2 linked regions of the Lonchura striata genome follow. The main gene of each other region encodes a partner of the protein of the gene in region 2 in a complex. Links are inferred from orthologs where the notes say so. Each region holds a gene or a part of one and is shown on either strand. Other genes may lie near its edges.

The links. Proteins that work in one complex are often made in the same cells at the same time.
Region 1: POLE3 (region 2) and POLE2 share a complex: the UniProt entries of both Homo sapiens proteins name them as parts of the DNA polymerase epsilon complex. The link is inferred for Lonchura striata from reciprocal best matches to the Homo sapiens genes POLE3 and POLE2.

What each region holds. Positions count from the first base shown.
Region 1 is NC_134608.1:1,889,506-1,896,894, forward strand, and holds the start of POLE2 (DNA polymerase epsilon subunit 2), read right to left. Parts: upstream 3,002-7,389; 5' UTR 2,332-3,001; coding exon 2,145-2,331; intron 1,328-2,144; coding exon 1,252-1,327; intron 1-1,251. UniProt on the Homo sapiens protein: Accessory component of the DNA polymerase epsilon complex. Participates in DNA repair and in chromosomal DNA replication.
Region 2 is NC_134624.1:4,748,417-4,755,992, forward strand, and holds POLE3 (DNA polymerase epsilon subunit 3), read right to left. Parts: upstream 3,010-7,576; 5' UTR 2,968-3,009; intron 2,766-2,967; exon of another isoform or gene 2,743-2,765; intron 2,578-2,742; 5' UTR 2,568-2,577; coding exon 2,502-2,567; intron 1,911-2,501; coding exon 1,825-1,910; intron 1,142-1,824; coding exon 1,023-1,141; intron 552-1,022; coding exon 391-551; 3' UTR 289-390; downstream 1-288. UniProt on the Homo sapiens protein: Accessory component of the DNA polymerase epsilon complex. Participates in DNA repair and in chromosomal DNA replication.

The DNA.
Region 1 (7,389 bases), on a different chromosome or scaffold from region 2:
CCAACACACAACACCAGCAGCTGAATTCCAGAATTCCAGATTCTCTTCAGGGCCCCCTGGAGGCCCAGCCATGAGAACAAACGCTCCAAGGAGCAGCCTGGTGATGCCTTGTGAAACCTGACCCAGAGCAGAGGCTGGATGGAGTCACAGAATAAAGCAGAGATTTATTAAAGGATCTCCTCCATGGATCCACCTTGGGCAGCACCAGAGCCCAGCCAGGGCTGCACCCAAATGACCCAAAATGGTCCCAAAATGCACGAGCGCTCCCGGGGCTCTCCCTGGGATCAGTTCTGCTCCATTGGCACCTTGGAGTTCATTGTCCCATTCCAGCTCCAGCCCAGGCAGTCCCACCCTGCTTGTTTTTCTCTCTCCAGCCCACGCTGTTTGTGCTCCTGGGCTGAGGTTTGGATCATTTGTCCTTGGTGCCCAGCTGGAGCAGGAATTGTTTTGTGTCCCTGCTCTGTGCACAGAGCTCAGCATCCCCTGATCTGGAGCCCAGACCCACACACTAAAGCAGCACAGAATCTGTAAAATAGAAAAGCTGAAACCTGGGGAATCACCACTTGGTTTTAACCATTTGAAGCATTTCACCCCTAGGATAAAATGGTCTTTACAAACTGCAAAAAATCCCCCACATTTGCTGCAAGCTCAGTTCATCCTTGCACGTGTCAGTGTGTGTTAATAAAGCTTTTTGAACCTGGAAATGTTTGGGGTTTTTTGTATCTCATTCCTTCTGATTATTAATGATTCCTAGAGTAAAGCAGTGACTCTTCTCCAGCACCGAGCTGCTCTTTCCTTTCTTCACTTTTGGGGCTTTTAATACTCAAAGGCTTTTTTAAGGCACATCAGCCAGGATTTGAAGATGTCACAATTATTCCAGCTTTAGCCCAGGCAGTCCCATCCTGCTTGTTTTTCTCTCTCCAGCCCACCCTGTTTGTGCTCTTGGGGCTGAGGTTTGGATAATTTGTCCTTGGTGCCCACCTGGAGCAGGAATTGTTTTGTCTCCCTGCTCTGTGCACAGAGCTCAGCATCCCCTCATGTGAAGCTCAGAACTGCACACTAAAGCAGCACAGAATGTAAAAAAATACAAAAGCCAAAACCTGAGGCATCACTGGTGCAAAGGCAGCAGCAGGAAGGCAAAAGCACAGAGCAATGACTGCAGACAAGGCCTGGCATTCCTTTCCCCAGGAGGAACAAGGAAATGACAGCAGCTCCCAGAAGTTCCCATAAAATTTAATAATGTCACCCTACATGGCCTCATCCGGGGCCCGGCAGCATTCCTGGACAGCTGCTTCCACCAAGGGCTGCTCAATCATGTTGGATGACACTGCAAAGAAAAATCCCAAGGATAAAACCTGCAGCAGGGAAGGAAGCGGGTGCCCAATATTTCACTACATTAAATGGCTGAGTCCCCTTAATGGAATACACACAAATAATTCATGTTTTCTGTAATGACACACAGATGGCTCACTTAATATTGCCACCAAAAGGACAAATTCCTAGGGAAAAAAATACCCTGTGCCCACCCTGAATTCCCCAAACATGGAGAACAAGACAATTACAGTTTATGCAGAGCTGCCAAATATATCACAAATGTGTTTGGTTCCAGAACATTATCACAAGGATTGCTGCCTTAAGTATTCCAACACAATTCTGGAGATGGGCGCATTGTTGTTTTCATTTAATTGAAATTAGTTTGAAGGCCTCCCCACCCTAACAGGTAAGAATTCCTTCAAAATATTCCATCAAAATATTCCTTAAAATATTCCTTCAAAACATTCCATCTAACCCTGCCCTTTGGCAGTGGGAAGCCATTCCCTGTGTCCTGTCCCTCCATGTGTAAATAGTCTGTCTCCACTTTTTATATTTAAAATTACAGTTTCAGGTACAAAGATGTCCAGACAAACTCTTAATGACTGTCACTGAAAAATGCTACTACTCTTGGAAAAGTCAGGATATTCTGCACTGTCAACTGTTTACTTGGCACAAATGTCTTCTGCTGACAAAATAAAAGGCCAAAAAATACATTTATCTCAATCAACCCTTTACACTGCAGTGACACCTCAGTGGCTCTGCTGTAACTGCCTTGATCACATCAGAAATGCCAGGAAAACCGGCTCAAGAAAAAGAAATTGTTTACTTACAAGGCTGTTTTTCAACTGCATCGATGACATTTTCAATTATATCGTCAAGTTCTCCCTCCCTGGTGGACTGGAAAGCTTCAGTGAGATACTTCAGGGCGTCCCTAATCCCAGAGGAGAAAGCACAAAAAGCAATTAATATTCCATAGTTGACACAAACTGTGCTGATTTTGGCAGGTGTGCGCATCATCACCACGTGGCTTGTGGTTAAAAAGCAGAAATAATTAGTTCTGCATAACAGCACGTGGGTTTAAAGTCAAAGAAAAAAATCACTGAGATTGAAAATATCAGGGAAAAGATGTGGAGAACCTCAGCTTCACTTAAAAAATTCCATGTTGGAAGGGAATTCTGAAGACCCTGTGGTCCAACCTTCTCCTGGAAGCAGGGCTTGGGTTATGCTTTCCTGGGCCCTGTGGAGCCAAGCCTTGAGAACTTCCACTGAGGGAGATTCCAGCACTTCCCTACTCCATCAATTTCAAAGTTTAATTACTATTACAATGAAGAATTAAATGTCTCTTGCCCTGTCACTGTGCATCCTTGAGAACACTTCTCACTTTTAGGAAGACTGGGATTAAGTCCTCAGGAATCTTCCCTTCTTGAGGCTAAATAAACCCAAATCCTTCACATCCTCTCCATGCCACGTTCTCTGACCCTCTAATCACAGAATTCCAGAATGGTTTGGCTGGGAAGGGACCTCAAAGCTCATCCCATTCCAACTCCCTGCCTACAACAGGGACACCTTCCACTGTCCCAGGCTGCTCCAAGCCCCAGTGTCCAACCTGGCCTGGGACACTTCCAGGGATGCTGGGACAGCCACAGCAAATCTGGGAATTCCACCCCAGTATCTGGGAATTCTCTGGGAATTCCTTCCCAATCTCCCACCCATCCCTGCCCTCTGGCAGTGGGAGCCATTCTCTGTGTCCTGTCCCTCCATCCCTTGTCCCCAGTCCCTCTCCAGCTCTCCTGGAGCCTCTTCAGGCCCTGCCAGGGGCTCTGAGCTCTCCCTGGAGCTTCTCCTCTCCAGGGGAACATTCCCAGCTCTCCCAGCCCGGCTCCAGAGGGGCTCCAACCCTGGGAGCAGCTCCATGGCCTCTCTGGACTCGCTCCAGCAGCTCCACATCTCTCATTTTGGACTCCAAATCCGTGTGTAGCCCTGAAGCTGGGATGTCACCAGAGCAGCTTCCAGCTCTTCCTGGCCTCCAGCCCAGGACCTCAACAGCTCCCACAGGACCTGCTCCAGTTTATCAATATATTTGAAATAGAAGTTATTTTCATTCTCAATAACACAAGATTTAGAAATCTGGTTTTCCCCTCAGCCTTAGACAAGAGTCTTGCATTAAATATAAAAATTTTCTTATTAATGTCATCTGTTAGCCAACCAAAGTGGCATTTTGGTGATCAGCCTGACCTTCAAAACATCTCAGCTCATGGAACTGTGGTGTCAGGAGTTCTGGACTTGTGCTGCTCTCTAATGAAAGTATCCTAAAGAATCACATTCCAACCACAATAGAAAGATCATTTAATGGATATTAATACACACGAGAAAGAAAGGGAAAGTAAGAGCGATGGGAAACCCAGTCTCTTATAAATCATGACACCTTCCACTGCAAGCAGGAATCCCTTTTAATTGACCTTAGCATCTCTAAATAATACATCCCATTATATTTAGAAATACACCCTTCCTGTCTTTGGAAATGCCATCCCTTCCTCTAGCAAAGAATGCTGAGCACAAGACTGGCAAGTGGAACTCAGATCCCAGAGCTGTCAGGGTCCGGGGCAGACAAAAAAACTCAACCAAACACCCGGCACCAACATCAGGGAGGGCTACAAGGGGAGACCACGGGCAGCTTTTGGTGGCACCCAGGGCCATGAGAGGGATGGGTAAAAGCGGCCTGCATCAGCAGGACAGGCGGATGGCTCTGGAGGAGCCTCCAGAGCTGGATGCGGGGCAAGGAAGAGGTGGGAAAGGCAGCCCCACATCCCGAGGCGGCGGCGCGGGGGATGCGGAGCGGCCCGGCCCCACCGCGCCCCGGCGCTGCCCGGGCCCGAGGCCCGCCCGGGGCCGGTCCGGAGCGGGGCCGGGGCCGGAGCGGGGCCGGGGCCGGGGCCGGAGCGGGGCCGGGGCCGGCGCTACTCACGGGCGCAGGACGAGCCCCCGCAGGCGGAACGCGGAGCTGAGGCGGCGCCGCAGCCGCTCGGGCTCCATGGCGGCGATGGCGCCAAACGCGCCCGGGCCGCCCCCTCAGGCCGGGCCGGCCCCGCCGCGGGAGGAGCCCGGCTCGGCCCCGCTCGGCCCCTGCGGGACCGGCCCGGGGCAGCGATCGTGCCCTGGGCTGGCTCTACGGGGCACCGCCGGTCCTGAGGGCGGCTCCGGGCCCCTCCTGACAGGAGACGTGGAGGGGCTGGAGCGTGTCCAGGGCAGGGAATGGAGCTGGGAAGTGTGATAGATTGAGGAATGTTTTGTCCATTAAAGGGTTAAAAACAGAAAACTAAGGCTCTAAGATCAAGATGAAACTCATATGCAAACATGCTCTTGCTGAATGTCTAATTGCTCAAAAAGCCTTAAGATCCAGGAACTCAAGCATGAGGAAGACCACCCAGCCTTTATCACAGGACCACCGGGAGCAGAATACACCGCCCAGCCTTTATCACAGGACCACCGGGAGCAGAATACACCGCCCAGCCTTTATCACAGGACCACCGGGAGCAGAATACACCGCCCAGCCTTTATCACAGGACCAGCGGGAGCAGAATACACCGCCCAGCCTTTATCACAGGACCACCGGGAGCAGAATACATCGCGCAGCCTTTATCACAGGACCACCGGGAGCAGAATACACCGCCCAGCCTTTATCACAGGACCACCGGGAGCAGAATACATCGCGCAGCCTTTATCACAGGACCACCGGGAGCAGAATACACCGCCCAGCCTTTATCACAGGACCACTGCCAAGCGAAAGGCACAGGCGCAGAGCACAGCTTGAGACACGTCAGCAGGAAACGGAACTGTATAAAAGATGAACTGAAACCTGCTGGGGTTGCGGCAGTTGCGCCCAGGGCTGTTTTTTGCTTTTGCCTTGCTTGCTGTAATTAATAAAATTCCTTGATTCGATCATATTTATCCAAATGTGTGGTCAGATTTATCACAATTTGGTGCCGTGACTCGGATGGGATTGGTACAGTAGGGCACGATTACCGAGGAGGCGCCCCAGCACTGGTGGCCTTGGTGATCGGTCCCTGCCTCGCTCCCACCGACGAACCTAAATTCAAGGCATTAAAGCAAAAGGAGACCGGTCGACCCTATAAACTTTTTGGACAAAGGTCCGGACGAAGACGCAGGAAGCGTGAGTATTAAAAGGGGTCGGGATCCTGGAGTGTGACGAGTGTGGTGTATTAGAGGGGGGCTGGCAGCTCGGACTCCCCAAGTGAGCGCTGTTATGTGTATATCTCATTTATAACAGTGCGGACCCTCAGTAGTGCGGTTCTCATTGCTCTTTCCGTGTCAAACCACGACAGCCACTGACCAGGGGAAGCTGGTTTTTGCGTGGAACGATTGAAGGCACTCCAGAAGATGGGGCAGGGGAAGAGCAAGCCCTCTGTACCTGTAAAACTTCCCCCAGTTCCTGGGGACAGCCCATTGGGGTTTATGATACACAACTGGAGACATTGCCCTGGCACTGGAGATAAAGATAAGGCAAAAATGATTCATTACTGTGTAGAAGTGTGGGGAGGAAACAAATATCACGCAATGTTTATTGGCCCATATTTGGGTCCTCAGAAGATTGGATGAAGCAGGACCTGAACATGTGGGTAAACACCAAAACCCCTTTCAGTCAGGAGGAGAGTGAATATGCAAAAATATGGGTAGAAAGTCCTGGCAGTAGAGTGTTTTTATACCCCTTGAAAGAAAAAATCGCCCGTGGATAACTCCGGGGCAAGAAGAAAGGATAAAAAGAAGGAAGAAATCCCGCTAGTTCCACCCCTGTACGTACCCCCGCCAGACCCAAATGCTCCCCCACCCCCAGATATGTCCTCGGAAGAGGAGGATGAAAATCCCAAATCCTCAAAGCATGAGGGACCGATGACAAGGAGCAGAGCTAGACAGCATAACCTGTAACCATTGAGGGAAATGCCCATGGGAGGGGCACAACCAGGTATTGGGTTTATTTCGGTTCCACTCAGCTCGGGAGATGTACGAGATTTTAAGAAGGAGATGGGGAATTTGTTGGAAGATCCTCTAGGGGTTGCAGAGAGATTAGATCAATTTCTGGGTCCTAACATATACACTTGGGATGAGTTACAGTCGATCATGAACATCTTCTTTACTGCTGAGGAAAAGAATATGATCAGAAATGCGGGAATGCAAATTTGGGATGCACAACATATCCAAGGTCCACAAGCAAATGGCCCCATTTTGTGTCCAGAATTATCAAGGAAGTAATGGCAACAATAGGGATAAAATGGGACTACCATACCCCATGGCACCCTAAAAGCTCGGGAATAGTTGAAAGAATGAATGGGGAAATAAAGAAACAATTGACAAAGCTCATGATAGAAACTAAACTGTCATGGGTAAGGTGTTTACCATTAGCACTTTTGAACATAAGAACCCAACCGAGATCCGACATGGGAATTTCCCTTTTTGAAATGCTATAGGAATGCCTTATAATCTAGAAGAGCCCCAAGACCATCCAAATCTAAGGGACAAAAACATGAACACCTATATTGTTAATTTAATGAAATACAGAAATGAGCTATGGAAAAAGGGATTGATAGCTGAGAGACCTCCACTGGAAATAAGAATACATCAAATGCAACCAGGAGATTGGGTATTAATAAAAACATGGAAAGAGACATCACTAACCCCTCAATGGGAAGGTCCTTATCTTGTATTGCTCACTACAGAAACTGCAGTATGAACAGCCGAGAAAGGATGGACCCATGCCAGCAGAGTTAAAGGACCAGTGGAGAAACCAGTACCCAAGTGGCAAGTGACCAGTTCTCCTGGAGATTTAAAACTGAAAATCCAACGAAAGGACTATTGATGAGTAAATACCAAATTGAGTACTTACCCAACCCATATTACACAGAAGAAGGACTGATTTGTAATAGTGATGTTAGGGTAATAGTGATGTTAGGGTAAGGTGTGGGAACCTTGACTGTAATTGCTGCCCTTTTGTTTGCTATATATGTAAAAGTATGATGGGAAAAGTGGTGGATTCATTGTAGGCGGGGAATTCCACCCAGA
Region 2 (7,576 bases):
TCCAAGCCTCTGGACATCATCACCTACATTCTACACCCCAGAAGTGATCTCTGAATGATCTACTGCATTCAGCCCCTCAAAATCAGGAGTCTTTCTCCTGGCCAGTTTCTGCACTGAGCACCCACCAGTTCTTTTTTCCTCTCTTTCAGAGCCAGCCCAGCATCAAAAGCCCCGGAAGTGCCTGCCCAGAGCCTGGGGAGGGCCAAAGGCCCCCAGGCACAGGGAGGAGCCACCCTGCCACGGAAAAAGCTTCAGCACGAGTCCTTTACAAAGTACAGGCCACAGAGGGGCAGTACAAAGCTCTAATGGATACACGAGGGGATGCAGCACGGTCGATTTACAGCGTTTACATCCCTCTGAGCACACCCCAGCCCTTGCCCACGAGCGAGCTCAGTTATCCACCTCTTCCTCATCGTTTTGTTCTTCCTCCTCCATCCTTTCATCATCCTCATCATTGTCCTCCTCTCGGCTCTTATCTTGTTCCTCCGAGTCTGCCTTCTTGTCTTTATCTTTCCTGGCCTCCTTCTTTCCTTTCTGCTCACGCCTGTAAACTGGAGGAGAGGGAACAGTGAGGGCTTGGCGCTGGCATGGACAGGTCAGTGGCTGAGGCCCAACGTCCACTTGCTCTCCTGGCTTTGAGGGGAGCAGGGAACTCAGAGCACAACTCACCCTACGAGCTGAGCTGTGCTGAGCAGCTCCATAGGAAATCAGGTTAAATTTCAGCAGAAAAATGCTGAAAAGGACGCAGGTCACATTTACAGGCAGCACCTACGGCTTTCCTTAGATAAACATAATAGGGGAGTGAGAGCAGATGAGACTTTCTCAATCCTCATCAGTTGTGCAAGAATGTTATCCCAGTCCTGTTAAGGTGCACATTAGTTACTCCCCAGGCAAACTGCAAGGTAGGATGCTGGGCAAAGAGAAGAGAAACAAGACAGGCAATAAGTGTTGCTTGTCCAGCGTTGGAGGAGAACAGGACTTGGTGCCTCTCAGAGTCCCTGGACACCCACGGAGCACAGTACCTTCCAGGGATTCCTTCAGAGGGGCCACGAATCTCTGGAACTCCATCTCCTCCATGGCAGAAAGCACGTCCCCAGCATTCAGGGTTTTCCTCTTCCCCTTCATGGCAAAGTTATTTGCACTAGGCAGAACCAAAAAGAGAGGTAATTGAGGACTGTTGGCAATTTCATCTTGTTTACTGAAGTCATAAGCAACTTTAAAAAGCCATCCCCTAAACATTTAGGTTTCTTTACCATTTACTAAAGGAGGCTTGAGACATTTTTATTTACAATGTCTGTGCTTTCCCACAGGGTTAGTTTCTGCCTGCACAGACCTTTTCTACAAGCAGGAGGAGAAAGCCTGAGCCTTGGCTGTGACAGTTCCACAGAGCCCTAGAAGGGCTAGGGTTCCATAGAAGCCCCTGACACTAGAGGAGTGACTGCCTGCAGAGAATACGCCAAGCCACCCCAAAAACGTGACTGTGTCCTCTGTGGCAGCTCTTGCCCCAACACAGCTTCATGATGAAGAGCCTGAAAATGAGTCAAGCGCTCTGCCTTTGCCAGGAAGGCTGTGCAGCCACGTTCTAAGGTTAATGGCAATTTGGGACCCCTCTTTTTGGGGACCCCCCTTTTTTGGGACATGGCTGTGTCCAGAGCCCAGCTACCTTCCCAAGGGCTGCTCTGGGCAGTCCAAACCCACCTGCTGCAGACTAGTTTATTTATATAAACAGGCAAAACAGAAAACCAACACTGGGAGAGAGTCCCCAGGCCAGCAGAAATGAATTATCAATCAAGTGCCCCAGTGACTGCTGCACCAAGTCCTTACCATGATGTTGCATACAGCACAAACACACTTGCTGCTCGGGAGATCGCGCTCCGGGCTTCTTTGGAAATATTGACTCCCTCAGGAAGCTGAAAAACAAATCCAACTTTTATCAGCAGCTGCTAAAAACGACTTAAACTCCATAATTGAAGTGTCAGTTTGTTAAAACACTCAGAGGGCTCAGAAGAACTGGGAACTGCTCTGGGGTGCTGTCGCAGGAGCTCTGCTTCCAGCTGGAAGCCAAGGGCAGTAGGAATGTGTCCCTCGAAGGCACAGAGCTGAGCACAAGCCCAATGACTCCGGCGTTTGGGGTCTGGCCACTGTCTCAGGTAACTCATCCTGTGCCTGCCCAGCTCCAGACACGCCCGCCAGGCCCAGATCCACTCGGCAACCCTCACAGCTCCAGAGCAAACGCGCTCAATCAACCCCAGCGAATTATTCTGGATTTTTATATAGACATGGACTCGTGTGCTGAAGTTTCAGGGGGCCTGGTTCTCACAGTGCCACTGCGGGAACTGCGCTGCTGCCGAGCTGCAGCGGTGCAGCCGCGTGGCTCGGGACGCTGCAGCGGTGCAGCTGCATGGCTCGGGAGCTGCAGCGAGCGCTGCAGCCCCGGTACCCGAGCGGGACAGCGCAGGGCAGAGCCCGCGGGCCGGGGCCCCGCGGGGCCCGGCACCCACCGCCTCCTTGATGATGCGGGTGATGACGGCGTTGGGCAGGTTCAGGTCCTCCGGTCTCTCCGCCATCCTGGGCCTCCTGCAAGGCAAACGCGGCGTCAGGGGCGCGGGGCTGGGCGGGATCCCGCGGGACGGGGGATCCCTCAGCACACGGACCCCTCACGGCCCCTCAGCACACGGGCCCCTCACGGCCCCTCAGCACACGGATCCCTCACGACTCCTCACGGCCCCTCAGCACACGGACCCCTCACGGCCCCTCTCGGCCCCTCAGCACACGGATCCCTCACGACTCCTCACGGCCCCTCAGCACACGGACCCCTCACGACCCCTCAGCACACGGACCCCTCACGGCCCCTCTCGGCCCCTCAGCACACGGACCCCTCACGGTCCCCCTCGGCCCCTCTCGGCCCCTCTCGGCCCCTCAGCACACGGGCCCCCTCGGCCCCTCAGCCGCCCGGCCCGCCCGTACCCAGCCGCGCTCGCCGCCCCGCCCGCTCCCGGCGCGCACCGCGGCGGGAAATGGCGGCGCGGCCTGAGGGACGGCGGGGACAGGCAAGGGACAGCGAGAAGAGGCAGGCGTAGGAACGGGAAAAGGGCAGGCGTGGCTGTAGGTGTATGTATGCATGCATAGGTGTAGGTGCAAGTGTAGGGACAAGTGCAGGTGATGGGACGGGGACAGATGTAGGTGAAGGGACTGGGATGGGTTTGGGTGTAGGTGAGGGGATGGGATCAGGTGTAGGTGATAATGTGAGGACAGGTTCAGGTGTAGGTGAAGGGAGAGGTGTAGCTGAAGGGACTGGGATGGGTTCGGGTGTAGGTGAGGGGATGGGTTCAGGTATAGATGAAGATTCAGGTGAAGGCACAGGGACAGGTGCAGGGGATGGTGCACGGACGGATTCATCTGTGGGTGAAGGGACAGGTTCATTGGTAAGTGGTGGGACAGGTTCAGGTGCAGGGGATGTTTCAGGGACAGGTTCAGGTGCAGGGGATGATGCAGGGACAGGTTCAGGTGCAGTGATGGGACAAGTTCAGGTGCAGGGGATGGTGCAGGGACAGGTTCATATGTGGGTGATGGGACAGGTTCAGGTGATGGGACAGGTTCAGGTGCAGGGCATGATTCAGGGACAGATTCACGTGCAGGGGACGGTGCAGGTACAAGTTCAGCTGTAGGTGAAGGTTCAGGTGAATGCACAGGGACAGGTTCACCTGTAGGTCCAGGTGGTCACACTGCCGTTACTGGGGGCTGCGAGCAGGGCCAGGCACAGGGGGAGCTGGGGCAGCCCTGGGGCAGAGCTGCTGCCTCTGGGAATGTTCCCAAGATCCCCCAAAGCCCTTGGGATCAGTAAGGCTCCCTCTAAGGCAGTGTGACACTCTTAGCGAGTCAGGCATTTCTGTATCCTTAGCCAAGAATGTGTGTAGCTGACAAAGCTCCAGCATCTGCACTAACACAGATACAAAACTTTTTCACTTATTTGTACATTTTTAGCAAACCAATTCATGTTCATTTGCTCTAGGTTACATAATTCTCTTTATTACTTAGTGTTCTATCTGCTCTTGGTTGTTAATTTCTCACTCTTCACACTAATCTGGTCCACATACTTTATTACTTTTATAATCTTTTTCCCAGTCAGGGAATCTCCAACTTTCCATGCCTTAATCTCCTCTGCATTTTTTGCTTACTCCAACACACTTGAAGGGTCATAAATTTAAGATCCCAGATGTCCAATCTCCAACTCCCTTTGGCTTTGTTTATTGAAGCTTGGCTGAGTTACTTGTAGCAAATCTGAGGTTTTGGTTATTTAGTGATCAAAGTAATTGTAAGAGCCTGTGAAGAAAGTTAACTAGTGCTATCTGAATGTGGGCACTGGTTGCAATTAATTAAAACAATTAAGAGAGTTACATAATTTCCAACAGGAAATAACAGCTGTTTTCCCCACACTGGGTTCTGGCCTCTTCCCTTGTGGCTGTGTGAGGGCACAGGGCTGTGAGCTTCTCCATCCCTGCCCCACTGGCTCCATGCCTGGCCTAAACCCTGTAATTCCATGAGACTTTATCCCTGTTGGTAACCTGACCAGGTAATTAAGCAAGCTCAGAGTGCAAGAAAGCACATTAATTAGGTGCTGTGGTGATATTTGAAATTGTGAGCAGTGATTGACAGTGCGGCTCTTTTCCATGGAAAATGGGAATTTCCTGTTACCAAGGGCAGTGTTTCTGTTGTGGGGAGAGTGGGCAGAGATTTGTGAGCACAGGTGAAGGTAACTGTGCTGTGCTGGGAGAAGCACACCCTGAGTACACCTGGGCCAGGCCCGTGTGAGCCCCTGTTCCAGTTCCAGGGACTGGATTAATAAACTCCGTCCCTGCTGTACAAATCATGTGTAAGTTTTGGTTTTAGCTCCTTTCCATGTGCTCTGTTGTTAACCCTGGCTGCTGGGTGTTCCTGGGCAGGTGTGGCAGTGCTGCCATTGGGAGGGGGCATTCACACATGGCAGGCTAGCTGCTGTGACAGTGACCATGACAGGTTGAGCTGCTGTGACAGTGACCATGACAGGTTGAACTGCTGTGACAGTGACCATGACAGGTTGAGCTGCTGTGACAGTGACCATGACAGGCTGAGCTGCTGTGACAGTGACCATGATAGACTCGGATCCTGGACAGGGGGGTGGCTCAGAGCTCTTGGAGCCCTTGGGAGCCCCTGCTGCTCATTTTGGCTTCTGTGTTATAGAGCATGAGGTGTTCTTGTCCATGAATTGAGAACCAAGCAAGTTGGTGGTGTGATACTGCCTGGAGAAGGGGTGGGATGGAGCAGAGCCAGGAATGGGGCTGCCCAAATCCAGGGATATGGCCCAAAGCTGCCCCATTCAGCAGCAAAGCCTGGGCTGGGACCATCCAGCTCTGTGTGTCTTCTGGACACAACAGGCTCTCCTCCCTGGTCCCTGGTGTGAGTCTATGTTTGTTTTTAATTACAATGTCTGGAGATTGGTACATTGAGTCCCAGGAAGGGACATTAAAGCCCATTCCATGGACAGGGACACCTTCCACTGTCCCAGGTTGCTCCAAGCCCTGTCCAGCCTGGCCTTGGACACTTCCAGGGATCCAGGGGCAGCTATCCTGGCCTTATATCCTGTAAATCCAGAGCCTTTATTTTAAATCAGCTTCCTAGTCTTGTTTCGCTGTCGTGTGTAAAACATGGAAGATGTTGAGCATGCAGTGCTCAAGTTTACTGCTGCGAGTCACATTTTACACTGCAACAAAAATATTGTTCCATGTACACAGGTATAAATACAGTGACAGAGGAGCAGCAGCTCAGCTCAGCCTGAGAGGGAAAGAAAAACCATAGGACAATATGGTCCTTCTGTACTTCAGGGAAAGGCTATAACAGATTTAGATTTAAATGCTTTAAATTAGATACTAAGAAAGCACCCTGGCAGGGTGGGCAGGCCCTGGCACAGGGTGCCCAGAGCAGCTGTGGCTGCCCCTGGATCCCTGGCAGTGCCCAAGGCCAGGCTGGACAGGGCTGGGAGCAGCCTGGGACAGTGGGAGGTGTCCCTGCCATGGCAGGGATGGAATGAAAGGATCTTTAAGGTCCCTTCCACATTCTGTGATTGTTTGATGACTCTGTACTGATAGTCAGGAGATGAACACTGTGATTTTTATGCCTGCAGTGAGGGTGGGCACTCCTTTAGCCTGCTTGTTTTTCACAACATTGCACAAAAATGTGACATTTAAGGTTTATCTGCAGGCACAGAGCTTACCCAGCAATGTTTGTACTCCTCAGAACCCACTGTTAGTACAGAGGGGCTTGAATCTCACTTGACTTCTGTGAAAATGACACTTCAGCATCATCATGGCCAAAGAAAAAAATATTAATACAAAAAATACAGATTATTCCAATGTAGAACAGTCACTGTGGAACGCCTATATTTTTTCCAGCACTCTTGAAGCCCTGTTTGGATGGGTGCCATCCAAGTCCTGTAAATAAGAGGCTGTTGTTGCAGTAACAGCTCCTGTAGAATCAGGGATGAGGTGTGCCAGGACGTGGTGCACAGGGGAGTTCTGAACAGCAAACCCTTCCCTCTGGGCACTCCCTGGCTCTGCTCTGAATGTTGTGGGGTTGCAGGATTAACTGTGAGGTCTTGAGCCTGAGAAGCGTTCAGTGCGTTCCTATCCCCGTGAGTCACTTCACACCTCTCCCCCTCCTAGTGCTGAACGGATCCACCCGGCTCTGGGTGACTCAGGGGACAGGGCAGCGCTCAGGGGACTCAAAACAAACAGCAAGAGACCCAGTGGTCACAAGGCAGGAGGCGAGGACACAGGAACACATCCCAGACTGGTGCTGGATGAGACACAGGGACACATCCCAAACTGTTTTGGATGAGGGATGAGACACAGGGACACATCCCAAACTGGTGTTGGATGAGGGATGAGACACAGGGACACATCCCAAACTGGTGTTGGATGAAGGCAGGAACACATCTCAAACTGGTGTTGGATGAAGACAGAGACACATCCCAAACTGTTGTTGGATGGTTTGCACTTACCAATTTAAATTTCCTTGAGAGACTGTCCACGATTGCTCTGTTTTTTAAAGTTTTTTTTCCTTTTGGCCATGGAAGAAGAATGAATGTGAAAGACTCAACAGCATCCTTTTTAAAAATAAGCTTCACTTGGTCATTTTAATCTCTAAATTTTTAAGGGCATCAGGCCTCTAACTGAGAGCTGGTGCCTGGAATGATTCCATTTTTCCTCCCCCTAAAGACAGGCCAGGCACTGCAGGCAGGAGCCTGGTCCCCAGAGGATGGAGCTGTCCCTTGGAGGTGTCACTCACACACTTCTCTTCCTACCTCAGGCCCTCTAAGTTTAGCTCACCTCTGATGGAGGCCTCCGAGGCAGCACTTTCAAAATATCTTCCTGGCATTCTTTTTTTAGCCATAAACGAATTCAGCAGTTTTAACTGTCAAAAAAGCGCCAGCCTAAAATTCTGCTGATTGAGTGGACTTTCCTATGTGACCTAAGACAGAGACTTGGACAAATCCTGTGTACCAGGTCAGGAGCTATTTTCAGCCACATGGACGGACTAT